Callithrix jacchus: one gene and its partners. The protein of the gene in region 3 interacts with the protein of the main gene of each other region in a pairwise test. Links are inferred from orthologs where the notes say so. Each region holds a gene or a part of one and is shown on either strand. Other genes may lie near its edges.

The links.
Region 1: the proteins of SFN (region 3) and FOXO4 interact in binary tests that used the Homo sapiens proteins (3 or more experiments, as listed by UniProt). The link is inferred for Callithrix jacchus from reciprocal best matches to the Homo sapiens genes SFN and FOXO4.
Region 2: the proteins of SFN (region 3) and BAD interact in binary tests that used the Homo sapiens proteins (3 or more experiments, as listed by UniProt). The link is inferred for Callithrix jacchus from reciprocal best matches to the Homo sapiens genes SFN and BAD.
Region 4: the proteins of SFN (region 3) and MARK3 interact in binary tests that used the Homo sapiens proteins (3 or more experiments, as listed by UniProt). The link is inferred for Callithrix jacchus from reciprocal best matches to the Homo sapiens genes SFN and MARK3.
Region 5: the proteins of SFN (region 3) and CCNH interact in binary tests that used the Homo sapiens proteins (3 or more experiments, as listed by UniProt). The two-hybrid records come from large-scale screens. The link is inferred for Callithrix jacchus from reciprocal best matches to the Homo sapiens genes SFN and CCNH.
Region 6: the proteins of SFN (region 3) and NTAQ1 interact in binary tests that used the Homo sapiens proteins (3 or more experiments, as listed by UniProt). The two-hybrid records come from large-scale screens. The link is inferred for Callithrix jacchus from reciprocal best matches to the Homo sapiens genes SFN and NTAQ1.
Region 7: the proteins of SFN (region 3) and HDAC4 interact in binary tests that used the Homo sapiens proteins (3 or more experiments, as listed by UniProt). The link is inferred for Callithrix jacchus from reciprocal best matches to the Homo sapiens genes SFN and HDAC4.

What each region holds. Positions count from the first base shown.
Region 1 is NC_133524.1:68,376,856-68,381,048, reverse strand, and holds the start of FOXO4 (forkhead box protein O4), read right to left. Parts: upstream 2,801-4,193; 5' UTR 2,123-2,800; coding exon 1,670-2,122; intron 1-1,669. UniProt on the Homo sapiens protein: Transcription factor involved in the regulation of the insulin signaling pathway. Binds to insulin-response elements (IREs) and can activate transcription of IGFBP1.
Region 2 is NC_133511.1:121,342,697-121,346,636, reverse strand, and holds the start of BAD (bcl2-associated agonist of cell death), read left to right. Parts: upstream 1-1,140; 5' UTR 1,141-1,630; coding exon 1,631-1,676; exon of another isoform or gene 1,677-1,760; intron 1,761-1,847; exon of another isoform or gene 1,848-1,970; intron 1,971-2,206; coding exon 2,207-2,401; intron 2,402-3,940. Other genes in the region: integral membrane protein GPR137, read right to left, coding at 1-49. UniProt on the Homo sapiens protein: Promotes cell death. Successfully competes for the binding to Bcl-X(L), Bcl-2 and Bcl-W, thereby affecting the level of heterodimerization of these proteins with BAX. Can reverse the death repressor activity of Bcl-X(L), but not that of Bcl-2.
Region 3 is NC_133508.1:63,512,005-63,514,950, forward strand, and holds SFN (14-3-3 protein sigma), read left to right. Parts: upstream 1-1,133; 5' UTR 1,134-1,196; coding exon 1,197-1,943; 3' UTR 1,944-2,446; downstream 2,447-2,946. UniProt on the Homo sapiens protein: Adapter protein implicated in the regulation of a large spectrum of both general and specialized signaling pathways. Binds to a large number of partners, usually by recognition of a phosphoserine or phosphothreonine motif.
Region 4 is NC_133509.1:138,222,991-138,227,246, forward strand, and holds the start of MARK3 (MAP/microtubule affinity-regulating kinase 3), read left to right. Parts: upstream 1-1,456; 5' UTR 1,457-2,081; coding exon 2,082-2,132; intron 2,133-4,256. UniProt on the Homo sapiens protein: Serine/threonine-protein kinase. Involved in the specific phosphorylation of microtubule-associated proteins for MAP2 and MAP4. Phosphorylates the microtubule-associated protein MAPT/TAU. Phosphorylates CDC25C on 'Ser-216'.
Region 5 is NC_133503.1:123,464,033-123,467,532, forward strand, and holds part of CCNH (cyclin-H), read left to right. Parts: intron 1-502; coding exon 503-576; intron 577-1,674; coding exon 1,675-1,885; intron 1,886-3,500. UniProt on the Homo sapiens protein: Regulates CDK7, the catalytic subunit of the CDK-activating kinase (CAK) enzymatic complex. CAK activates the cyclin-associated kinases CDK1, CDK2, CDK4 and CDK6 by threonine phosphorylation.
Region 6 is NC_133517.1:73,974,115-73,977,614, reverse strand, and holds part of NTAQ1 (protein N-terminal glutamine amidohydrolase), read left to right. Parts: intron 1-99; coding exon 100-199; intron 200-2,230; coding exon 2,231-2,281; intron 2,282-3,500. UniProt on the Homo sapiens protein: Mediates the side-chain deamidation of N-terminal glutamine residues to glutamate, an important step in N-end rule pathway of protein degradation.
Region 7 is NC_133507.1:160,370,064-160,373,081, reverse strand, and holds the end of HDAC4 (histone deacetylase 4), read left to right. Parts: intron 1-711; coding exon 712-853; intron 854-1,259; coding exon 1,260-1,299; 3' UTR 1,300-2,518; downstream 2,519-3,018. UniProt on the Homo sapiens protein: Responsible for the deacetylation of lysine residues on the N-terminal part of the core histones (H2A, H2B, H3 and H4).

The DNA of each region.
Region 1 (4,193 bases), on a different chromosome or scaffold from region 3:
TGTCTGTCTTTAGGCCTTGGAACTAGCCAGTGGTACACAGCCTCTTAATTGGAGAGGTTAGTTTCCTAAAAGCCTGCAACTCTTACATGTTGGAGGGCGGTGTGGGGTAGGGGTGTGGGGGGGGGGTGACTGCTAATTGTTTCCCAAGCCACCTAACCTAAACTTTCTTGTTCTAAGTGAGTGTCGCCCCCTGGTGGGGTGGGAATAACCTTGGCATATCATCAGGGAGGCCAGTTCAGGCAGGAGACTTCCCGTCAGAGAGGGGTGGGGGGGCCTCGAAATCCCAGGCTCAGCCTGATTTGATTTTGTCATCATTCCAATGAGAGCAAGCATGCTCTTCTTAGACAATATGATTTATAGTTAGGCCTGAGTTCAAGTCCTCACCCTGCTGTTATTGGGTGAGTTTCCTAACCTCTCATTACCTAGTTTGCTAATATGTGAAATGTGGAATCTCAGAATTGTTGTGAAGATTAATAAAATAAAAATTTAAAAACTACTTTGCAAAGTCTAAAGCCTAAGTAACAACTTGTTATTTTCTCTACCCTGGAAAATGAACCTAAGGGAAAAGAAAAACAGCTGTGTAGGCTGGGTCCAAGGAGGGGAGCTCTTTATGAGCTGAGACTGTGGCATGGCAGTCTACCCAGAAATAGTGCTAAGGGTCTCAGTCAGCTGTCCCATCTTCTGTTCTGCCCAGCCCCTAGGGATAGTGCAGACTGATCGCTCAATCTCCTAAGAACTAGGGGACGTTCCTCTGCTCATCCAACCCTCTGTACTTGGTTGTATGCTGACCTCACCACCTACGGAGGTACAAGCCAGCAGTAGGGCTTGAGGCTCCCCAGTTTTGTGATTAGAGCCCCATATTTCTCAGGACAAGTTTTTCACAGTATCTTTTGAGATCTTTCCTCACAGTTTCTTCACGGAAGGCCAAGGGAACTCCCAATCTTGTGCTCTAAAGTCAGAGCCCTACCTCCTTCTTCATGACTATATTCCCTAACAGTAAAGGAACATTTTCCCCCAAAACTTGGATAGCCCCTTACAAGGGAGAGTTTCTTGGCAGCACAAGGTAAACTGACACAGGTAGCAGCTCACAGCCCTTTTTCTTCTTAGTGAATAAGATCAGCTACATTTCCCCATGAATATTATTGTTTTTACCTTTGCCACTGCACTCCCTCCTCCTAAGTAGAGCAGTGGTAGAACAGTACCGCTACACTGAGGTATTGGGAGGCAAGCAGGGAATCCAAGTAATCCCACAGGAATGGGAGAAAAGGTGTTGGGGTGGGAAGTAGGGGAGGAGGCAAGGCTAGGTTGGTGCGGGGAATCCACACATTTCCTGCTGTACATAGGATAAAGACTTCTCTGTGGGAATAAGTGTTTGGGGCAGCCCAAGCCAAAGTGCTGCGAGTGTTCAGCAGTGAGCAGAGAATTCGATTTTCTCCAGGGCAGGGACAGTGTCTTATTCATCTGTGATCCTCCAGCATCAAGCACCGAGTGTGGACTATACTATGTACTAAGTAAATGTTTGTCTAACTGGAGATTCAAGGTGGATCTCTGGGCTTCCCAAAGGGGTGGGGGTGAGAGGCGGTAAAAGGGGCCCCAGAGTTTAAGTAAGGGAGGCTGGGGGTCCAGGGGGTAGATGGTGTTGGGAAGGAGGTAAGAGGGTCATAATTACCTTCCATCCTGCTGAGCTGTTGCTGTCACCCTTGTCTTTGAAGTAGGGCACAGTACGGACCATCCACTCGTAGATCTGGGCGAGTGTCAGTCGCTTCTCTGGGGCGCTTTCAATGGCCTGGCTGATGAGTTCTGCATATGATTGATTTCCCCAGGCATTCCGGCGGGAGCCTCCCTTCCGAGGACCTGTTACAGCCCCCAGGATTCCGGGCTGGGGGCCCCCCACCGGCTCTGGGAGCCGGGAGGGCAACAGGATCGGCTCTGAGTGCCCCTCCGTGTGTACCTTTTCCCCCAGACCTGGCTCCACCTCGGGCGGCTCGGAAGGCTGGGTAGAGAGCTCTGGTCGGGGAAGGGGCCAGGTGCAGGAGCGGGGACGGCTCTGGGGTTCGAAGTCGGGATCGAGGTCTATGATCGCGGCAGCCTCTGTGGCTGAATTCTCATTCCCTGGATCCATACGTGGAGTTGGACCTCCCCGGCTCAGAGTTCAGTGAAGCCTGCCAGAGTCCCTCACGATGCCTCCCCTCAGGGGGGAAGCACCGAGGGCCAGGAGGCACATTCCTGCCAGTCCTCAGAAAGTCTCGAACTTCCCCCTAGTCCCAGGACGCTAGCCCCTAAGCTGTCCCTTCACACAGTTCTCCAATCCCCTTTCCGACTACAGCCTACAGCCTCAGAGCTCTTTCTGAGATGCCACCTGTAACCTCCGCCGAGCAAAGACACTTTTTCTGCCACCTCTCACTCAGCTTCCTGCTCTTTTAAACCTGAGGCACGGTATCCCCTCATACATTGCGCTCCCATCACCGAACGTCTCCTTAGCCGCAGTTCCCTCCCCCTTTTAAGTTGCTGCCCCCCGGACACTCCTCCCAAATTGCCTCCTCCCGGATCGCTGCCCTCCCCCACGCCCCGCTCCCCCGCGTCACTTGCCCCTCCCCTGACTCCCTCTTCCCCCGCCTCTTCCCTTCTCGCCACTCTTAATAGGGTCCTGGTCCCCGCTGCTGCGACCTCCCTTATTCCCGCACCGATTCCCCTATCAACCCCCCCCACCCCCCGCCCCCCGGGTTTCCCTTTTGTTTTGCTCCAAGCAGCAGCCCCCGCCTGACGTCTCTGTTTACCACTCTCCGGGGCAGCCATCTGCGCACGCGCCTCGGAAGCCAGTCGGGAAACCGAGTTCTTCAGTCGTGCCACCCTGGTCACTCTTGAGGACTACAATTCCCGTCCTGCTTCGCGGCCAGGAGCCCGATACGACGGCAGGAGAGCGGCGTGGCAGGATATAAGGAGGTGGAACTTTAATTATTAGAAGTCGTCACAGACTCTTTATTTTCTTAAGAATCGTTTTTCGCCCTTTCCCCCCTTTCCATCGCCTCCCTTGTGAGTCGGGGTCGCCTAGGTGACCACATTGAGAGATGCTAGCCCTTTCTCTCCTTCATTTAGGAGAGGGCAAAAGGGGAAAAAATCTTTTCTTCAAGAAGCAGGAGACCGAGAAGCAAGAAGCAAGGAACAGACTATAAAATAGGATGTATGCACATTGGAGAGTTGGGTAGGGGGCTGTGTAACATAAACAAATGGTTAGCCCATGGTGGCGTTCCCCCTCACCCCCTTCCTCCTCCCTCCACCCGCCTTCATCCGACATATGCAGTTCCCACTGACAGTGAGGTCTCACTAATCAGTTTCCTCCACTGGCTTTTCTGGCCTTCCCTTCAACACTAATATTCTCTTCACATCTCCAGCGGCTTCACTTCTTATTCAACAGGTCCCAAACTGAAGTCATTATCTGTTCCTGCACCCACACCCCTATCCTCTGGCTACCCATATCTCTGAATTTGGCTTTTGATAGTCTTGGTCTACCCAGTCTCCCAAGCTAGAAGTACCCATTACCTCTTCATCTCCATAACTTTCTACATCCAAATCCCGGTTCAAGACCTTATTTATAACTGTATTTAAATTGTAGGATCAACAGGGTGCAGTGGCTCACTCCTATAATCCCACCACTTTGGGAGGTCGAGGCAGGCACATCACTTGAGTTCAGGAGTTCAAGACCAGCCTGGCTCACATGATGAAACCCATCTCTGCTAAAAATAGAAAAATTAACCTGATGTGGGACATCCAGCTGTAGTCCCAGATACTTGGGAGGCTGAGGTAGGAGAGTCACTTGAACCCAAGAGGTGGAGGTTGCAGTGAGCCAAGATAGTGCCACTGAGCTCCAGCCTGGGTGACAGAATAACACCCTGTCTCAAAAAAAAAAAAAAAAAGTTGCAGTATCATCTCAATTGGATCTCCTTCCATCGGTGTTTTCTTCACTACAGTTCATGTTCAGAGCTGCCAACAAGGTTACTGTTCTAAGAAACATGTATGGCTGGGTGAGGTGGCTCAAACCTGTAATCCTAGCACTTTGGGAGGCTGAGTTGGGCGGATCACCAGAGGTCAAGAGTTCAAGACCAGCCTGGCCAACATGGTGAAGCCCCATCTCTAAAAAATAAATAAATAAATAAACAAATAAACAAGAAAAAAGAAACATGTCTGGAAATTAT
Region 2 (3,940 bases), on a different chromosome or scaffold from region 3:
CAGGCACCAGCCCGGCAGCAGGCACCAGGCCAGACAGGTTACTCTCCATGTCAGGGAGGGAGGCCTGAATCCCTGAGACAGAGAAGGAGGGGCTGTCGGCGGGGCCAAGGAAATAAATACGGAGGGGTGGGAATTGCAGGGTGCAGAGAGGGAGATGGGGCGCTCAGGAGGAAAGAAGTTGTGGCTGACAGACCTCTCCTCCTCAACAGAGAGACCCCTGCCCTTGGGGAACATGGGCAGCCTGGGCCCCAGGCCCCTCACTCAGGGGCATGGAAGGGCAGTTTCTTCTCTCCAGGGCAGATCGGTTGAGGGTTGGTGGTGTCTCCTCCCTGGGCCTACCCCAGAGCCAGTGATGGAGGGAAGCAGAGGCCCAAGGAAAGGAGTCCCTGGCCTGAATCGCTCGTGTCGTCCTGGCTGGAGGGGGAGAGCCGGCCGATGCCCGTTGGCCCAGGGCAGCGGCCGCTATCGGGGGCGCCCAATGCCCCGCTCTCCCCCTCCCCAAGTTGGGGGAGGCTCTCTCCTCCAATAATGCGGATGGGGAGAGCCTCTGCCTTCTGTCCTCGGAATTCTCGGAGGCTGCCCCCGCCCCACCCCTCCACCGCGTCCACTCTCCAGCGTCAAGGGGCGGGAGGAGGCGGATGCCAGGTCCTCAGGCCGCTGCTGGGAGAGCCGGCTCAGATCGTGGGGACCCGGGGCTCCGGCTCCCCGGCTCCCGCTGCTCCGCCCCCTCCTGCGCCTGCGCGGGCGCCGTTCGCTACGCAAATTGCGCAGGGGCCGGGCTGGCTCCGCAGTCTAGCGCCGCACCCGGCGTGGAGCCGTTCGAGAATTGGCACGAGCTGCGCCGCTGGCGGGCGCCCGGGGTTACAGGAGGCGGCAGGCGGGCGGCCGAGTTGCGGGGGACTGTGCCGCACACAGGGGACCCCCGGGTAGGCCGCGCCCCGGGCCGCCAGCCTTTACTAGTTCGGGGGGCCGCCAGTTCCCACGCTTCTCTCCCCCATCCCCAAATTGGGGTCTTGCCTCCCGGCCGGGGACAACGAATCCCCGACCCTCGGTCTCTAAAGAAAACTTCCGCCCATAGCCAAGATGGCTTCCGGGCCCCGCCCCCGGGTCTGAACCCGCGGAGCCCCGAATCCCCCGCGCGGGCCCGCCCCCCGTCCTGGCGCGCCCGCGGCCCCGCTCACCTGGCCTGCCGCCTGCCAGGCGCGAAGCCCCCGCGGGCCCTACGGTCCACCCTCACTGGGTCCCCGGCCCTCCTCCCGCGCCCGGGCAGCCATCCCAGCCAGGGAGGAGGTTCCCTCCCTTATCTCCAGTGCCCCCGAGATGGCGCGGGAGGTGTCCCCCGAGGCGGGCGGCGCGAAGCTTCCACGCCTGGGAGGAGGAGCGGGGAACGGGACTTTCCGACCGGGTCACCCAGTCCAGGCGAAGCAGTAACAATAGCAACAATAATCGCATCCGACGGCTGAGCTTCAGTTGCGGCTGTGCCGAGCGCCTTCGCCCGTAGTAATCACTCCTTTCACAAAGTTTTCACTGGCTCCCGGGAGAGCTGTCACCATCCCCTCTTCACTGGAGGTAAACTAAGGCCCAGAGGGGCTGAAGGACTTGTCTGCAGAAGCAGGTCTCCAGGTTCCAAATGGGGACCCCAGAGAATCCCTCTCCTGCTCCTACACACATCCAAGGTGTGAGGCAGTAGGGATGTGAGAACCCGGGCCGCGGGAGGTAGGAAAAAGGCGGTGGGCTAGGAGGTCGGGACGAGGGGGGGCGGGGCCGGGCCGGGTTGACCCCGCCTCTGGACCTACCCGAGTGACGTTGCGAGAGGTGATTGGGGCAGGTCGCTGACAGTTCCCGTTGCCCAGGCAACTAGGGCCGGGAGCCCGGTTGCAGGAGGGAGGCGGCAGGCCCGGGTCAGGGGCCTCGAGATCGGGCTTGGGGTGAGACCTGTCCGCCGTCACCACGGGCGGGGCGGGACCTGGGTAGGCCCCTGGGTAGGGGCCTGGGTCCACCAGGGTTCTGACGGGAGACTGAGGTCCTGAGCCGACAGCCTCAGCTCCCTGCCAGGCCAGACCCAGCAGACAGATGAGGGCCCGGGAGGCCTGGCGGGCTTCGGGGCGCCAGGGTGGGAGAGGGAGCCAGGGGCACCTGCCTCTGCCTTCCAGGACCACCGTTGGCCCCAGCTGTGCCTTGACTACCTAACATCTTGTCCTCACAGCCCAGAGCATGTTCCAGATCCCAGAGTTTGAGCCGAGTGAGCAGGAAGACTCCAGCTCTGCAGAGAGGGGCCTGAGCCCCAGCACCGCAGGGGACAGGCCCCCAGGCTCTGGCAAGCATCGACGCCAGGCCCCAGGCCTCCCGGGGGACGCCAGTCACCAGCAGGGACAGTCAACCAGCAGCAGCCACCATGGAGGTGAGTTCCCCTCCGCCTCCACCTGCTGGGTCGCCTCACTTCCAGCCCATTGGCTCCCTGCATCCCAGCTGCATCCACACGCACTGAAGGCTTCGGGGCAGTCCCCAACCTCTCAGAGCCTCAGTTTCCTCTTTTGTAAAACAGAGCAATTAATCACCACCATTGTAGGACTGTTGGGTTAATTAGCAGGAACATATAGGATTCACTTGATTACAGAGCTGGTGCACATTAAAGTGGCAAAATGGCAGCTGCTGGGCCTGGTGGCTCACACCTGTAATCCCAGCACGTGGGGAGGCCAAGGCAGGAGGATCGCTTGAGCCCAGAAGTTCAAGGTGAGCCTGGGTGACATAGGGAGACTCCATCTCTTAAAATACATACATATATATATAATGGGTAGCTATTAGTGTGGGGCCAGGATAGAAATCAGTGACAGGCAGGCAGTGATGCAAAAAGGAAAAGTGACTTGCCTAAGGTTACACTTGCCTGGGGTTTCCTTCCTTAGGAGGTGGGGCTGGAAGGCTCCTTGGTGCCCTGCCCCAGGCTATGTGCTTTCCCTGGGATTGGGCCTTCCAGCTCCCGGGTGTGTTGTCTTGTCCTGTGGCTCGCACCCACAGCAAGGCTGTCCTGGTACAATTGCCAGGAGCAGGTGACCTCAAGGGGCAGACAGTCCTCCCAGACAGCGGGGCTATGTGTGGTGGGGAGCACAAGCTGCAAGATGGAAGGATGAATGAACACTGGGGGTCACGGCCATTTCTCAATAGGCTCCACTACCTTGTGCCCAGCACTGGCCTGGAACAACAACAGATAATTTCGGAACAAAGAAACTAGGTCAATCCGGGTGGGGTGGCACATGTCTGTAGTCCCAGCTACTCAGGAGGCTGGCTTGAGCCCAGGGATTCAAGACCAGCCTGGGCAATTCAGCCAGACCCCATCTCTAAAAATAGAAAACTAGGTCAGGTCACTATTGCACTGAAGCTTAAACGACCTCCTCCCCATTTTCAGGATTAAGAAGGCTTAAGAGGCCTCCTCCCTCTCCCTCTCTTACCACACACACTCACTCCCTTCCTCAGATTGGACCCTATAACTTGCTTTTTTTCTCTTTTCTTTTTTTTTTTTTGAGACAGGGTCTCACTCTGTCATCCGGGAGGGAGTACAGAGGTGCAATCTCAGCTCACTGCAGCCTGGAACTTCTGGGCTTAAGTGATCCTCCTACCCCAACTTCCCAAGTAACTGGGAATACAGGTGTGTGGACCACACCCAGTTAAATTATTTTTCACTTTTTCTTTTTCTTTTTAAAGATGAACTCTCACTCTCTTGCCCAGGCTGGAGTGCTAGGCCTCCAGGTGCAAGCTAGGAGTTAGCTAGGACTTCAGGTGCAAGCCACCACGCCTGGCTAATTTTGTGTATTTTTAGTAGAGACAGGGTTTCACCCTGTTAGTGGGTATGGTCTTGATCCGACCCCGATTTAGCCTCCCGAAGTGCTGGGATTACACTCATGAGCTACCACCCTTGGCATTTTTCGCTTTTTCATTAGAGACG
Region 3 (2,946 bases):
CTAGCGTCCCCCCTGGGGGATCAAACTGGACTGCTTCCCAGCCTCAGACAAGAGGGCAGTCTGAGTCAGGCAGGAAAGTGGGACAGCTGGGGAGCTGGACCCCACCCTCTGGAAGCCCCGCTGGTACCTGATGGCATATGGCTTGGAGAGGGCAGGTGACCTGGCATGGAGGGCCAGAGGGTAAGTCCTCAAACAAGTGGCAACAGGCCACCAACTTGAAAGGGAAAATTGTGTAGTGATGGGAAATGTGTTCAACAAACCTACTGGGTGACTAATTACAAAGGCTGGGCTGGAGCGTCAGAGGCTGCTTGTTAAACACTTTATTAAGTGGCACTCCGAAAGCTGCCACCTGTGCATTCTGGGAGCTCAGAGGGGACCCATCTGGGGGATGGAACTGTCTTCAGGTAGACTGAGGAAGCAGCCTGGATCTCATTTCCAAACACAGCCTGGAGCTCATAGGTCAGAGGCCTCATGGGAGAAAATCTAAAGGAGGTAGGGTGCAGAAAAGAGTTTCAGGGAATTGGTGGCTATGTGACTTTGAGCAAATCTCACCCCTCTCTGAAACTTAGTGTACCCATCTCTATGGTCCTGTGTATGTCACAGAGACATGGAGGGGATTAAAGTTGATCATGAATATAAAAGTGCTTGAGAAACTGTATAGCCCTACCTATACATGAATTATTCTCCCCTGAACCAAGCGGGGGAAGTTACCTCTCCGGATTAGGAACCCCATCCTCCTGAACCTTTATGAGCTCTATCAAGGCTGAAGCAGCCAGGGGCTAAAGCCATCCTTAGCCCCTGGAAGGGCACTGTGAAAGAGGATCTGATATGAGAAGCCAGGCAGCTTCCTGATGTGGGCAGTCATGTAATGCCAGTCCTGAACAAGAGGGGGCAGCGTGGAGCCCAGAAAGGCACCTGTGCAGGTGGGGCCAACGCCCAGATTTCTCCTGCTGACTGTCCTGATGACTCACTCCCACATCCCAACCCTTTTACCTTTCATGCAGAGCCGGAAAGGGTGTGGGGAGGAGAGGAGAGGGAGGCAGGTCTTGGGCCCTGGTCCTGCCCCCTGCTCCTCCCCACCCTTCTCAGGGCCTGGCCACCCAGCCAAAAGGCAGGCCGAAAGCAGGAGAGGCACAGAGTCCGGGATTGGTCCCAGGCAGCAGTTACCCGCCGCCCTCCTGTCTGTTCCCAGAGCCATGGAGAGAGCCAGTCTGATCCAGAAGGCCAAGCTGGCAGAGCAGGCCGAACGCTATGAGGACATGGCAGCCTTCATGAAGGGCGCCGTGGAGAAGGGCGAGGAGCTCTCCTGCGAAGAGCGAAACCTGCTCTCTGTGGCCTACAAGAACGTGGTGGGTGGCCAGAGGGCTGCCTGGAGGGTCCTGTCCAGCATTGAGCAGAAAAGCAATGAGGAGGGCTCGGAGGAGAAGGGCCCCGAGGTGCATGAGTACCGAGAGAAGGTGGAGACTGAGCTCCGGGGCGTGTGCGACACTGTGCTGGGCCTGCTGGACAGACACCTCATCCAGGAGTCTGGGGACGCCGAGAGCCGGGTCTTCTACCTGAAGATGAAGGGCGACTACTACCGCTACCTGGCTGAGGTGGCCACCGGTGACGACAAGAAGCGCATCATTGACTCGGCCCGGTCAGCCTACCAGGAGGCCATGGACATCAGCAAGAAGGAGATGCCGCCCACCAACCCCATCCGCCTGGGCCTGGCCCTGAACTTTTCCGTCTTCCACTACGAGATCGCCAACAGCCCCGAGGAGGCCATCTCGCTGGCCAAGACCACCTTCGACGAGGCCATGGCTGATCTGCACACCCTCAGCGAGGACTCCTACAAAGACAGCACCCTCATCATGCAGCTGCTGCGAGACAACCTGACCCTGTGGACGGCTGACAACGCCGGGGAAGAGGGGGGCGAGGCGCCCCAGGAGCCCCAGAGCTGAGTGTTGCCCGCCACCAGCCGGCCCTGCCCTGCCCCCTCCAGTACCCCACCCTGCCAAGAGGACTAGTATGGGGTGAGAGGCCCCACCCTTCTCCCCCAGGCGCTGTTCTTGCTCCAAAAGGTTCCATGGAAAGGGACTGGCAGAGCCGAGGCCACCTGGGGCTGGGGATCCCACTCTTCTCGCAGCTGTTGAGCACACCTAATCACTGGTCATGCCCCACCCCTGCTCTCTGCACCCGCTTCCTGCCGACCCCACGACCAGGCTACTTCTCCCCGATCTTGCCTCCCTCCTGCCCCTGCTGCCTGATGTTAGGAATTGAGGAGTAAGTGTCCCGCCTTGTGCCTGAGAACTGCACAGTGGTAGGGGCTAGAGATTGTGTGTGTGTGTGTGTGTGTGTGTGTGTGTGTGTGCGTGCGCTTGCCAGTGCAAGATCGAGATTGAGGGAAAGCATGTCGGCTGGGTGTGATCATGTTTCCTCTCAATAAAGTTCCCCTGTAACACTCCTCCTGTCTCTTCCAGTTCTTGGCGATGGGCTGGGAGTGGGACTGGAATCTGATTTAGAGACCCTGAACTTGGACCTGAGTTAGGACCCTGACCTCCCTGGGTGCTCAGTGACCCGCACGCAAGACTTTGAGTCCAGGTGAGGCCGGGGTCCAGCTCTGTCCTTCAGGGAGGCCCCACACTGGACGGGCCCGGAAGGGGCCGGTGAACCCACAGGAGGCGCCAAGGCTCCTCTGCCGGGCTGAGGGGAGGTGAGTGGGAGCCGCGAGGTTGACGAGCTCAGGTGGGGCGGGGCAGGAAACAGTGAAGTCTCCGGCGTGAGATCTAAGGACAGCGCCGCAGTAGCGAGCGGCACTGAGCACCCGATTTGCAAGCAGGTCACAGTCTCATCACGGGCTCCGATCTCAGCGGAGGGGAATACCATCTGAGTGAGGCAGAGGTATAGCGCAACCCTAAAACCCCAGATCTCAGGAGAGAGTCGTGTCCCACAGAGTTCGGAGAT
Region 4 (4,256 bases), on a different chromosome or scaffold from region 3:
TAGCCACCCACTCCGAGGGCTTCTCATCCAAGCTTTGGGGACCGGGTTAGAACCCCAGCTCTGTTGCTAGCCACCCACTACGAGGGCTTCTCATCCAAGCGTTGGGGACCAGGTTAGAACCCCAGCTCTGTTGCTAGCCACCCACTCCGAGGGCTTCTCATCCAAGCTTTGGGGACCAGGTTAGAACCCCAGCTCTGTTGCTAGCCACCCACTCCGAGGGCTTCTCATCCAAGCTTTGGGGATCGGGTTAGAACCCCAGCTCTGTTGCTAGCCACCCACTCCGAGGGCTTCTCATCCAAGCTTTGGGGACCGGGTTAGAACCCCAGCTCTGTTGCTAGCCAACCTGGGTACTTTAGCCATGTCACTGTACCTGTCTAGACTTCAGATCAAAAGTCTGCCCATCTCATACGGTTACCCTGAGGCTAAATGGAGTAACAAATATCATGAACTCACAAAGTAGACTTGACCCTCAGTAACAGTTCGTGTCACCTCCATCCCACACCACTCTCCCTCTTTGGACCCTGCACCCATGGATTTCATCCACCGCTGGCTAGGAGCTGAGCAGAGGCACCGAACACGTGAAGAGGTGAACCGGCAAGGAAGGCTTCCAGGACAGGTAGCATTACCAGAGTTCCAGCCTGCAGGCGTCTACCGAGCCTGGCCGAGGCTGGCACGCGGAGATGCTTCCAGCCTTCCAGCGGCTACGCACTGTCTGTAAGAAAAGCCTGCTTATAAATCCCCTATAGGCATTTAGGAACTGGCGGGGCCTCTACAGATTCGTTTCGGCCCCGACCACATCTCCTTTGTGCCACCCTCGTTATTGCACTCTTCCATCCGGATGGCATTTAGCTGGGTCCGGGTCTGTCACCCGCCTGACCACCAGTTCCTTGAGGGCAAGAAGTGTCTGCTGCGCTCGGGGTCTGCGCCCAGACCGCAGCTGCTCAGATCCGGATGCAGGAAGGTCTGTTGGCGAGAGCTTGACGCCCGGGTCACAGTTAAGGATGCAAGAGCCCGGCTCCTTCCCGTAGCCTCGGCCCTGTCATCCATTGCTTCTGTGCCTCCACTCGGTGCTGCGCAGTCCCAGGGATGCAACCGCAACTTTTGCGCATAGTAGGCTCTCCATCTGTAATCCAGCCAACCCGGGCCTGTGGTCTGTAAATGCCTACTCAGCGGGAGGGCTCTGGCTGCTGCCCAGGGCCGTTTCCCGGCTCTTTCGGGGTTGCCCGCGCGTTCCTGACAGGAGGAACCCGCAGCCCGCGGGAGTCAGCCAGGACCCGGCCGGCACTTCCTAGCCCTCTGCACCGCCCCCGCGGCGGGGGTCTGGACCAAGTCGCCCCTAGCAACAGCAACCGGGCCGGCTTTCCCAGGCCACGCTGATTGGCCGGACTCCGGGAGGCGGCGTGTCGTCACTTCCGGCATCCGGAGGCAGCAGAGGAAGCCGAGGGGCGGCCATCTTGAGTCCGTGAGGCTCTGAGGGGCCGGGGTGCGGCGGCGGCGGCAGCGGTAGCGGCAGCCGCTAGGGCGGAGGCTGAGGCTGCAAGCTCGCTGGAGAGGGAGAAGCAGCCGGGCGCAGGCACCTTGTCCGTAGGCCGCTCCATGGTCGGCGCCTCCAGCCCGCCGAGGCCTGTCTTGCGCTCCACTTCCTTCACATCCTCCTCCGCCTCCTGTTTTTCAGGGGCCGCCGGCGGCGCTGTGTGGAGGCCCGCGAGCTGAAATTCGCGGCGCGACGGGCGGGAGTGGCGAAGGAGGCGAGGGGGCCGGGGCTCGCGGGGCGCCCAGAGACGAGGGGACGCCGGCGGGCGGAAGCGCAGCACGCCGCCCGCAGCCTCAGCCCCGCCACTGCCGCCCTCCCGGGCTCCTCGCCGCGGCCGCCGGGGGCAGGGAGAGAATGAGCCCCGGTACCCGCCGGGGTACGGCCCGGGCCAGGCCCGGGATCTAGACAGCCATAGGGGGAAGGGAGCCGCCCTCCCCACGGCGCCGCTCCAGGCCTGCCGTGGACTCGAGGACGCGGGTCGCCGGCCTTCCAGGGCTGTGCCGTTCTGTTCTCGCCGTCGTATTGTGCAGAATTGAAGCGCAGTACAATGTCCACGAGGACCCCGTTGCCGACAGTGAATGAACGAGACACCGAAAACGTAAGTACCCCGGGCGCTCCCGTCGGCGGGCCTGCAGGGTGGGTGGCCTTCGCGCTCCTCGGGCCGTGCCCTGCAGGCCGGTGTCCCCCCCCAGCCCGAACGCGCTGGAAATGGAGGGCAGGCCGTCGGTGCCCGAGAGGCAGCGGGTCGGACGGTTTCCTGCAGCAGGCCGCCCTTTCCCGCCGCGGCGGGCGGGTCTGCGAGGTCCGTCGATGATGCGGCCAGTGTCGCTGCGGCGTTCCGGCTCGGTCCCTGGAAGGTCAGCTTGCCGCACGATGGACGGCGCAGGTGTGCGTGTGTGTCCGGTCACATCGATCCCTGTATTCCTGGTGCCGATGAATCGATCCGGTCAAGTGGACAGTCTCGTGCCTTAAGACGGCCTGGAACTGAATTTAATCACAGCCACTGAGTGTCCGCTCGGGGATCTTCGCGGGATTCCAGAACACTAGGGCGCAGCCTTGGGGAAGGCACAGACTCCTGTCCATACAGATCTTGTCTGAAGGAGTTGGCTGCACATTTTGGAAGGCAGGAGAGCAGATGCGTAGTGAAGCTCTGCTCTGCCACTCACGGCCTGGCAGAGGGACACCCGCTGGGGGCTTCGCCGTCCTCCTTGCTAAACACACGTTGGCTTAGATGAGCGCTTAGGTCTCTCAGCGCTCACAGGCTATGGTTTTATAAAAGGAACCTTTTATTTTATTCACGTGAAACGACAGAATGCCAGGAACAGCATTGCTGGAGAATGAGAACTTGTAGTAGAAATTCCATTGAAGAAATGTTTGTTCGTTTTCTGAACTCTTCTGGGTTCAAAAGTGTTTCAATCTAGTTGTTGGCTGTCTTCTGTAAAACATTTAGCAAATAACTTGTAAAGAAATGTCCCCGGCCCTTCATTAAAAGTGTCATGAGGTCATTGCCGGCACGAAATGTCTTCTCTTAGGGAATGCTTCCTTGCTTTGAGTATTTTCATGCTTTCAGTAATGTCCTGAGATGTGGCCTAGTGGTGCCAGTGCTTTCATTTTGATCTTAAAAATGCCACTTGTTTGCTGGATAGCTGTCTGATAATTTAATCTGTAAACGTAAACCTTAAAGTGTCCCTGTAGCATATTAGTGTATAATATTTAATGCTCTTTAACCCTGAGTAGGTAGAACAGTGGTGATTGTTTCTCCACCTGAGATAGATTAGAAAATTATGTAAAGAGTAATACAACCTCTTAGACTAGGTGAATCAGGGAACTAATTTTCTTATAGTCCATTTAAAGAAACTGTGTGTGTGTGTGTGTGTGTGTGTGTGTGTGAGTGAGAGAGAGAGAGAGAGAGAGACCGAGTTTCTGTCTCCCAGGCCAGAGAGCAGTCCTGTGATCTTGGCTCACTGCAGCCCCCACCTCTTAGGCTGAAATGATTACCAAGCCTCAGCCTCCGGAGTAGCTGGGATTACAGGCGTGCACCACCATGCCCGGCTAATATTTGTAGTTTTAATAGAGATGGGGTTTTACCATGTTGGCCAGGCTGGTCTGGAATTCCTGGCCTCATGTGATCCACCCGCCTTAGCCTCCCAAAGTGCTGGGATTACAGGTGTGAGCCACTGTGCCTGATTGATTAGTTTTGATCATTGATCTTCACTCAGAAGCAAAATCTTGTATTGAACAAGAGTAGGAGCGCCATACTTTCTAAACTGAAGCCAGAAACAGTCATAGCAGATTTGTGGTAATGAAGGATTTCAAATGGGTCTTTGTTTGTTTCTTTTTTTGAGACAGAGTCTGGGGTCTGTCACCCAGGCTGGAGTGCAGTGGCATGATCTTGGCTCACTACAACCTCCACCTCCCTGGTTCAGGCGATTCTCCTGCCTTAGCCTCCTGAGGAGCTGAGATTACAGGCATGCACCACGATGCCCAGCTAATTTCTTTTTAATAGAGACGGGGTTTCTCTGTGTTGGTCAGGCTGGTCTTGGACTTCTGACCTCAGGTGATTTGCCCACCTCAGCCTCCCAAAGTGCTTGGATTACAGGTGTGAGCCATCAGCCATATAGTGTATTTAAAACTGAATTGTTGGCTGTGTTTAAGTCGGGTTTATCACACATTGTTGCATTAATTTAACATGCCCTGTTATATTTTTAACTCTTGTATTGGC
Region 5 (3,500 bases), on a different chromosome or scaffold from region 3:
ATGGGATGCATTCAGTAAATAGTAGTGCTGCTTTTGCTGTTCAGTTAGCAGCAGTGATCACAAATCATGGAGTGGACATACGGTTATGTAAAAAATATGAAGTGACTTTAGAGAGAAGGCTTATTACCTTACCCATGTATTTTTGTTAATATTTTTATAAGATTGGTTAATCTCTGAACATTTGTATTTTTTCTCCTTGAATTTAATTCAGGTCATTTTTGGTACTCTGAATTCTGAAACACACATACCCTATTTTTAAATCCAGTGACCATAGGAAGGATTAGCCAGAGTAGTCTGGGGATAGACAACCAAAGGACGGGAAAGGGTCTTTTGGCTATGGCATTTATGTAGTAATTCATCAATTTATTTTGATTAAAGAAGAATTAATATTAGCATTTTTATGGGTAATCTCTACAAAGAAACCTTTCCATAAGTAAATTCTGTTTCACAAAATTTAACAGGTAACATTTGTGAATACTGATGATTTTTTTTTAACCCTTAGGGTACAGCTTGTATGTATTTCAAGCGTTTTTATCTTAATAATTCAGTAATGGAATATCATCCCAGGATAATAATGTGAGTATGTCTGTCTAATTTATTTTCATTTAAAGAGACTTTTATACTCTTTGAGTATTTGTGGAAGGAGAGTTGTGTCAGAGAACTGACTTCCTAATCTAGGTCATTTAGACTTGAATTTTTTTTTTTTTTTTTTTTTTAATTCAGAACTTAAGATCTCTATTTACCTATACTTCGGTAATACTGATGGCATCTGAACTTCAAGTTGTCCAGATTCAAATTTTGTTTTTCTCAATTAGGTGCTTCTCTAATATCTCTCCCTGTTAGACGCCTAAGTTCTTCCAGTTGTTCAGACCGAGAATCATTTGTAGTGGCCCCTCTCCTTCCACATGCAGTCAGTGTTTGGATGCTATAACTTCAGATTCATTTCAGTTGAACAAAGGTCTCTTGTTTCTGCTCTCTGCTGAGCACTGTGTCTATCATTAAAGTTGAAATTAGTATGAGACTCATCAAAGAGCTTGTTCTCAATGACAACGTACCTGTTTTCTCTTTTCGATTCCCATTTCCTCCAGTCAAGATTAGGCCCTTGATCTCACTTCCAACCTTGATTTTTGCAATAGCTTTTTTAACTAGTTTCTTATACTGAACAGCATGAAGTGGCCAGGTAAATTTCACACATTTGTCCCTGAAATAATAATTCCTTATTCAGATGCCCTCAGAGACTTCCATGGATGGGCTTCCACAAAGTTCCTTAAACCTACTTTTCTTCCCATGCTTATATGATATATAAGCGGGTATTGCTTTATTTTTAACTCTTTGTCTACATGATACAAAGTATTCTTATTCCTCAGTTAATTTGTTTTTCCAGATACTTAGGTTGTCCTGCATGACACTGTCATTGAGTGAATGATGGTTGAATGCCATGGCAATATTAGTTGGTTTGACCTGATTTTATAGTCTGCCTTATGTCTCCTAATGGATGAAAGTGTGAACAAAGAGCTATCTTAAAAATATATATATATTCCTGCAATGTCTACCAGTCACTTTTGAATATCAGACAATTATAGAATATACTTTTAGAAATAAATTAGATATTTCTCAAAGTATATGCATGTTGTTCCACCCCCCACCCCCGTACCTCCTTATTTTTTCCTCTAGGCTCACTTGTGCATTTTTGGCCTGCAAAGTAGATGAATTCAATGTATCTAGTCCTCAGTTTGTTGGAAACCTTCGGGAGAGTCCTCTTGGACAGGAGAAGGCACTTGAACAGATACTGGAGTATGAACTACTACTTATACAGCAACTTAATTTCCACCTTATTGTCCACAATCCTTACAGACCATTTGAAGGCTTCCTCATTGACTTAAAGGTAAACTTGATGTAAAATAAACGAACACATCGCCTTTCCTATTCTTTAACCAAGAGAATCCAAAATTTTAAAACCCTTAATTGTTATACCTTGGATATACCACAGGCCCTCGATGACATGTGGATCTGACCTGGTCATCGAGGGCAGTTGTTTCCAAACTTCTGTGGGCATGAACAGACATCTGGAGAAATTGTTAACTCAGATTGTTGGGTGGGACTTACAGAGTTTCTGATATAAGTGATCTGCAGTTCTGCTCCAGGGACGTAATGAAGACCATGGAGAATTTAGAACAGTGCCTATAAAGGTTTGAGATAACTCTTCTGACTTTGAATTATATTGTCATGGATATTGGCATGATTTAAAGAACCATAAATTCTTAAACTTAAACTAGAAGATTGCTAAGTCACTTCTATTTTTAGAGGTTTGTGAACTTGAGTCACTATGTAGGCATCAATAATATATGTAAACAAACATTGACAAAAGCAACCTTTAGATTGTTTTGTTTGGCTCTGACAGAATAGTTGGATAGTCTAAGTCGAGTCAAACAGAAATCAGAAACTGGTTTATTCATATTAGTTCAGTGGCTCAATTTGGGTACTTTTTATGTGCCAGACTTTGTGCTTGAGGATGTAACCAGAAACAGGAGAGGAACAGTCTTAACTTTTGGGAATTTTACAGTCTAACAGTTTTAGATAATCATATCCAGTGTGCTAAGTGATACAGAGAGGAAGATATATTTTAGAAGGAGATAACAGATTAAGGGGTAAGGAAAATATTCTGAGAATGTATCATTTAAAATAAAATTCAGAGTAGGAATAGGTGAGAGAAGAACATCCCAATCAGAGACTTCACTGGTCAAAAGCTCAAATTCAAGAAACCATTCTTTGCTAAAGAACCTGGGCAGAGCCTAGCAATGCAAGGGGAAGAATATCACAGACAACAACTACCAGTGTGGAAGGCAAAGTCTAGAATGTGGAGACAATGATACACATTTCCAATACAGCAAAGAGAAGCCAGTGAAAGGTTTAAATTTAGAGTGGCATAATTAGATTTTCAGCTTTAAAACATCATGTTGGCAACCTTATGCATCAGGCTGCATCAGGTATTTATTGCACATCTGTTGTGTCAGGCATACGTGGAGAAAGGATTTGAATGAATTAAGGGAGTAATGGGGTACTGTTAAAGGATTCCAGGCAAAAGATGGTGGTGAGCTTCACTCATATGAAGTTCATGAACTCTGGGCTTGAGTTACAGTCTGAATATCCCTTATCTGAAAAACTAGGGACCAAAAGTATTTGGGATTTCGCACACACACACACTCAAAATCCTTATATATTTTGTTCCACTTTAGGTTCTGGGGTGCATGTACAGAACATGCAGGATTGTTGCATAGGTACATACATACATGGCATGTGGTTTGATGTCTCCATCCCTCTGGTCACCTGTATCTGGCATTTCTCCAAGTGTTATCCCTCCCCATCCTCCCTACCCCTCTATGTCCCTCCCTTATTCACCCCACAACAGACCCCATTGTGTGATACTCCCCTCCCTGTGTCCATGTGTTCTCATTGTTCAACACCCGCCTGTGAGTGAGAACATGCAGTGTTTGATTTTC
Region 6 (3,500 bases), on a different chromosome or scaffold from region 3:
TTTTCCAACTTTTTGATGTCATCATCAGTATTTTATTCAAATCTAAAAAACACATAGAGTGTTCTCCCTCATCTTGATTAAGCAATTATTTTATTTCAGTGAAGAAAATATTTGGAAGCTCTGTGAATACATCAAAAACCATGACCAGTATCCTTTAGAAGAATGTTATGCTGTCTTCATATCTAATGAGAGGAAGATGGTAAGTTGGTGAGTGATTGCAGAAAGAAAATAAGAGATTTAGGATGACATTAGAAGCTAAATAAAAAAAGAAAGAAGTTAAATATAGCATGGGTGTAGTATTCTTCTGGAGTGTGCTTTATAAAATACAGCAACAGTTAAAAGTTTGCTTTTGACCGAGATTTTTTTTCCATACAAGGCATGATTGAGTTAGAAGAGTTGAGTCCCTTCTGTTGCCCAGGCTGGAGTGCAGTGGTGCAATTCTCAGCTCATTGCAATCTCCATCTCCCAGGTTCAAGTGATTCTTCTGCTTCAGCCTCCTGAGTAGCTGGGACTACAGACATGCACCACCATGCCCAGCTAATTTTTGTAATTTTTAATAGAGATGGGGTTTCGCTATGTTGGCCAGGCTGGTCTTGAAGTCCTGGCCTCAAGTGATCCTCCCACCTCAGCCTCCCAAAGTGCTGGGAGTATAGGCATGAGCCACCATGCCCAGCCTAGTCTCTTACTTTAGATAAGGAAATATGTGATGATCTACACAGATTTAAGTCCCTTTTCTTTAGGTATTAATGTAGGCCTGTGTTTTTTTCTTTACTTTTTTTGATATGGAGTCTCACTCTATCACCCAGGCTGGAGTGCAATGGTGCGATCTCGGCTTACTGCAACCTCTGCCTCCCAGGTTCAAGTGATTCTTGTGCCTCAGGCTCCCAAGTAGCTGGGATTATAGGCGCCCACCACCATGCCCGGCTAATTTTTGTATTTTTAGTAGAGACGGGATTTCTCCATGTTAGCTAGTCTGGTCTCGAACTCCTGACCTCAGGTGATCTGCCTGCCTCAGCCTCCGAAAGTGCTGAGATTATAGGCATGAGCCACTGTGCCTGACCATTTTTTTTCTTTTTTAAAATTCAAGATGGAAGAAGTAGACTTTTTAAAATGGCTTAGAGGCACATACTCTCAGTATTAAAGTAAGGATTTGTCTCTGGAGTTTCAATAGAACTGCAGTCAACTTATATGAAGAATTAGAAAAAGTAAGCCCTTCATATTTTGTAAAACACATTTGCAAGCATCATCTCATTTGATCCCAATGGAAGCCCTGTGAAATAGGCAAGGTTTGGATAACTTTCTTCATTTTATAGATGAGGAAATAAAGACTTAGGGTGGACCTCTGAATAATTAAATGGAAAAGCAACATTTGATACCTGCCAGGACTTCTGATTCCTAGTTCAGATCCCTTTTCACTCTCCAAAGAACATCATTCAATAGCTTGTGCTCTAGAGAGCTTTAATTGTTGGGGACACTTAGAAAAATTTAGATTTCTTCCTCTTCATTCATTCTTTCACCTTGATTTTTTGCATGCTTAAAAGTATTTTATTTCTCATGCATGTATTGCTTTAAAGAATTTAGTAGTTGTCAGGTACAGTGATACATGCTTGTAGTCCCAGCTACTTGTGAGGCAGCTGAGGTGGGCAGATCACTTGAAGCCAAGAGTTCAAGACTGCAGTATACTATGATTGCACCTGTGAGTAGCCACTGCACTCCAGCCAGGGCAACATACCAAGATCCCATCTTGGCCAGGTGCAGTGGCTCGCACCTGTAATCCTAGCACTTTGGGAGGCCAAGGTGGGTGAATCACTTCAGATCAGGAGTTCGAGACCAGCCTGGCCAATATAGTGAAACCCCCTCACGCCTGTAATCCCAACACTTTGGGAGGCTGAGGTGGGCAGATCACTTGAGATTAGGAGTTTGAGACCAGCCTGGCCGATATGGTGAAACGCTGTGTCTACCAAAAAATAAAAACAAAAAATTAGCCAGGTGTGGTGGCACATGCCTGTAATCTCAGCTACTTGGGAAGCTGTGGCAGGAGAATTGCTTGAACCTGGGAGGTGGAGGTTGTAGTCAGCCAAGATCATGCCACTGCACTCCAGCATGGGCGACAGAGTGAGACTCTTTCTCAAAAAAAAAAAAAAAATCCCATCTCAAAAAAAAAATGGTTAAAGAATTTAGTAGTGGTTTAACTGAGGGTATGGCTTATAAAATGTATTGTATTTTGTAGATACCTATATGGAAACAACAGGCGAGACCTGGAGATGGACCTGTGATCTGGGTAAGGCAGTTAAATTAATACAGAGGGTACTGAGGCATTATGACTTGTAACCTCTTGGTGTTTTGTATGTTTTGGTAAAGCAGAAGTGGCCTATGCAGTAGAGAAAGGCTATGGTCATTATTAATACATTGATCTTTTGAGAATAGGTGTTATTTGGTCTAAGGTGGAAATATATAGGCATATTTTCTTTTAACTTTTTGTTTTGAAATTATAGGAATGATTTTAAATGGTAGATATGTTTGTAATCTCCTAGACTCTTATCCATTTAGCAGAGGAAGGAATTTTGGCGACATGTAGTCTGGCTACGCATTAGAATTATCCGGAGACTGTTAAAAATGTAGTTTTTGGCTGGGTGCGGTGGCTCACGCCTGTAATCCCAAAACTTTGGGGGGCCAAGGTGAATGGATCACTTGAGGCTAGGAGTTTCAGACCAACCTGACCACCGTGGTGAAACCCCATCTCTAATAAAAATACAAAAATTAGGCCAGATGCAGTGGCTCATGCTTGTAATCACAGCACTTTGGGAGGCCGAGGCAGGTGGATCATTTGAGGCCAGGAGTTCGAGACCAGTCTGGCCAACATGGCAAAACCCCATCTCTACTAAAAAAATACAAAGATTAGCTGAGCGTGTTGGCATGCACCTGTAGTTCAGTTACTCGGGAGGCTGAGGGAGGAGAATTGCTTGAACCTAGGCGGAGGAGGCTACAATGAGCTGAGATTGTGCCACTGCACTTCAACCTGGGTGACAGAGAGAGACCCAGTTTCAATAAATAAATGAACAAATAATGTAGTTTTCTGGTTTAGTAAATCTAGAGAGGGGTTCAGGAGTTAGTGTTCTTGATGAACTGCCAGATGAACATGACTGGCATTTGAAAAATACAGATCTACTCCCACCCTTTATGTTTCAGGGAAGAAATAAACACAGAAAAACAAAGTGAGTAGCTCAGAGTCACTTAGTTGGTCAGTAGCAGAACTAGGTCTCAGACCTGGATCCTTTCCAGTACAAATCTACATGTCACCTTAACCCATTCCCCTTAAGAATGGAGGCCAGGGTTGGGCACGGTGGCTCACACCTATAATCGCAGAACTTTGAGAGGCTGAGGTGGGCAGATCACCTGAAGTCAGGAGTTCGAGACCAGCCTGGTCAACATGGTAAAACCCTGTCTCTACTAAAAACTTGGGAGGCTGAGTCAGGAGAATTGGTTGAACCTGGGAGGTG
Region 7 (3,018 bases), on a different chromosome or scaffold from region 3:
CAGGGTGTAGGCCCTCTGCGTTCCGGCACTGACCCTCAAGCAGAGGGTCCTGGCTGCAGGGGCATGGCACGCAGCCTATCTCAGAGGCACCTCCCACACCCTGTCATCACAAGCCCAGTTTGCCTTTGAGATGACCCAGAAGGTTGAGACTGTCCACACAAGCAGGTACAGTCCAGAGCTTGGCTCCCATTTCCCTGTGTGGGGGAGTCCTGGCCTCAGAGCCCTGAAGCTGACCCTGGGCCAGCCCAGCCCTCCTTGTACCTGGTGCAGTACCCCTCCACCCCCAGCCTCTGTGAGGGCCCAGGCAGAAGACCCCTCAGCCCCAGCAACAATCCCCCAGCTCACCTGCTCCATGAGATGGGAAGGCTCAGCCCAGCAGGTTGGGAGCCCCCACTCCTGGCCACCCAGGGCAGAAAGGGGCCCGTGAGCATGGAAAATCAGGCCCACCAGACCGTCCGTCTGCCGTCCTAGGCCGGCTTGCTCCTGGAGGGTCTCCAGCCACTCACGATGGGGAAATATTTCCAGAGATTCTTGGTCTTTGTGAGTTTGCAGCTATGCAGTTGCCTGCCTCGTGCCTCTTCGAAGAGGGCTGCTTCAAAAATCACAAGGGATCGATGTCGTTTGAGGCTCAGGGTCCTGCAGGAACGTCCCAGGCCACGGAGCCTCCTGCGGAGTTGCAGTCACTGAACACCTTTCCTCTCCCTGCCCCAGGCAAGTACTGGCGCTGCCTACAACGTGCAGCCTCCACGGCGGGGCGCTCTCTGATCGAGGCTCAGACCTGCGAGAACGACGAGGCCGAGACGGTCACCGCCATGGCCTCACTGTCAGTGGGCGTGAAGCCCGCCGAAAAGAGGTGAGCGCCTGCCCAGCTGCCCGCCTGCCCCACCGCCCGCCTGCCCCGCCGCACGCCTGCCCCACCGCCTACCTGCCCTGCCGCCCGCCTGCAGGCCCACCCAGCCCCACTGTGCCCAGTGACATACTCTGCAGGGTCAGAACCTTTATGGCACATGCCCTACCAAGCTGGCAGGGCAGGCCCTGGGAGAGGGATGCCCATCAGACTAGAAACAGGCCAGGTGGCCCCCTCCATCCAGTGCCAAAGCCCCTTAGAGACACATAAGGAGCAGTAGGCCCTGAACAGATGCCACCTGGGCTAGGCTGGCAGCTGGGGCAGCGCGCGGCCTTTAACCCACGTTCTGTTCTCTCTCTGCTGCGGGGCATGTGCCCCACGCCCCTGTCTCTTTCTCTTGCGGGATGCACAGACCAGACGAGGAGCCCATGGAAGAGGAGCCGCCCCTGTAGCGCCCCTCGAAGCTGCTGTTCTCTTGTCTGTCTGTCTGTCCTGAAGCTCAGCCAAGAAACTTTCCCGTGTCACGCCTGCGTCCCACCACGGGGCTCTCGGAGCACCCAGGGACACCTGGCGTGTGACAGCCATGGGAAGCCTTTCTGCCGCCTGGGCCCACAGGTTCGAGATGCACATGCACACCTGGGCGTGGCGGCCTCACAGGGAGCACGGGACAGATGCGGCTGACGCGCAGACACTCGGACACGCGCAAGCCAAGCACACTCTGGCGGGTCCCGCGAGGGACGCCGCGGTAGAAAGAAGCCTGCGGCGACGAGCGGCCGAGCCGCTGAATTCCGTTGACGCGAGGCACAGAAAATGAGCATCAGAGATCTGATAATGCAAAACAAACTTGACTAAAACAGGTGCTTAAAGTTTGATTATCACACGCAACTCCACAGTCTCTGTGTAAACCACTCGACTCATCTTGTAGCTTATTTTTTTTTTAAAAGAGAACGTTTTCTACGGCTGTGGCCTGCCGCTGTGAACCATAGCAGTGTGCAGTGGGGGGGTCTGCACCCAGGTGGGGGACAGAGTGACCTTTAAAGAAGACAAAACCGGACAGAATCAGGAGTGTGAGCCTGGGGAAGCTGGCTTGAGTTTCTCAAAGCCATCGGAAGATGCGAGTTTGTGCCTTTTTTTTATTGCTCTGGTGGATTTTTGTGGCTGGGTTTTCTGAAGTCTGAGGAACAATGCCTTAAGAAAAAATAAACAGCAGGAATTGGTGGGACAGTTTCCTGTGGCCAGCTAAGGCTGGCAGTGCTGGCCCCATGACCTGGCCTGAGCCCCAAGCTCGGGCACCGGCCATCATCTCCGGGGCCAGGGGCTGTAGCCCGCCGGGCCCCATTTTGCTTTATTGCTGTTTAAGGAAAATGGAGGTAGTTCCAAAAAAGTGGCAAATCCCGTTGGAGGTTTTGAAGTCCAACAAATTTTAGACGAATCCAAAGTGTTCTCTTGTCACACATCACATAGCGATTGAGCATCTCCATCTGGTCGTGAAGCATGTGGTAGGCACACTTGCAGTGCTCCGATCGGAATGCTTTTTATTAAAAGCAAGTAGCATGAAGTATTGCTTAAATTTTAGGTATAAATAAATATATATGTGTATAATATATATTCCAATGTATTCCAAGCTAAGAAACTTGATTCTTATGAAATCTTGATAAAATATTTATAATGCATTTCTAGAAAAAGTATATATATATATATACACACACATTTATATATATATATATATATATATATATATATATATATATAAAATGAATGCAGATTGCGAAGGTCCCTGTAAACGAATGACTTGTGAATTTGCTCTAAAGGTGCTTATGGAAAGGGATCCTGATTGAAATTCATGTATTTTCGAGCTCCAGATTGGCTAGAATTCAAATCGCCAACACATTCGCCACTGGGCAACTACCCGACAACTTTGTACTTTAATTTTAATTATTTTCTAACAGAACCCTTTCTGTCTCCAAGCCTTCATGCACATATGTACCTAATGAGTTTTTATAGCAAAGAGTATAAATTTGCTGTTGATTTTTGTATGAATTTTTCACAAAAAAGATCCTGAATAAGCATTGTTTTATGAATTTTACATTTTTCCTCACCGTTTAGCAATTTTCTGAATGGTAATAATGTCTAAATCTTTTTCCTTTCTGAATTATTGCTTGTACATTTTT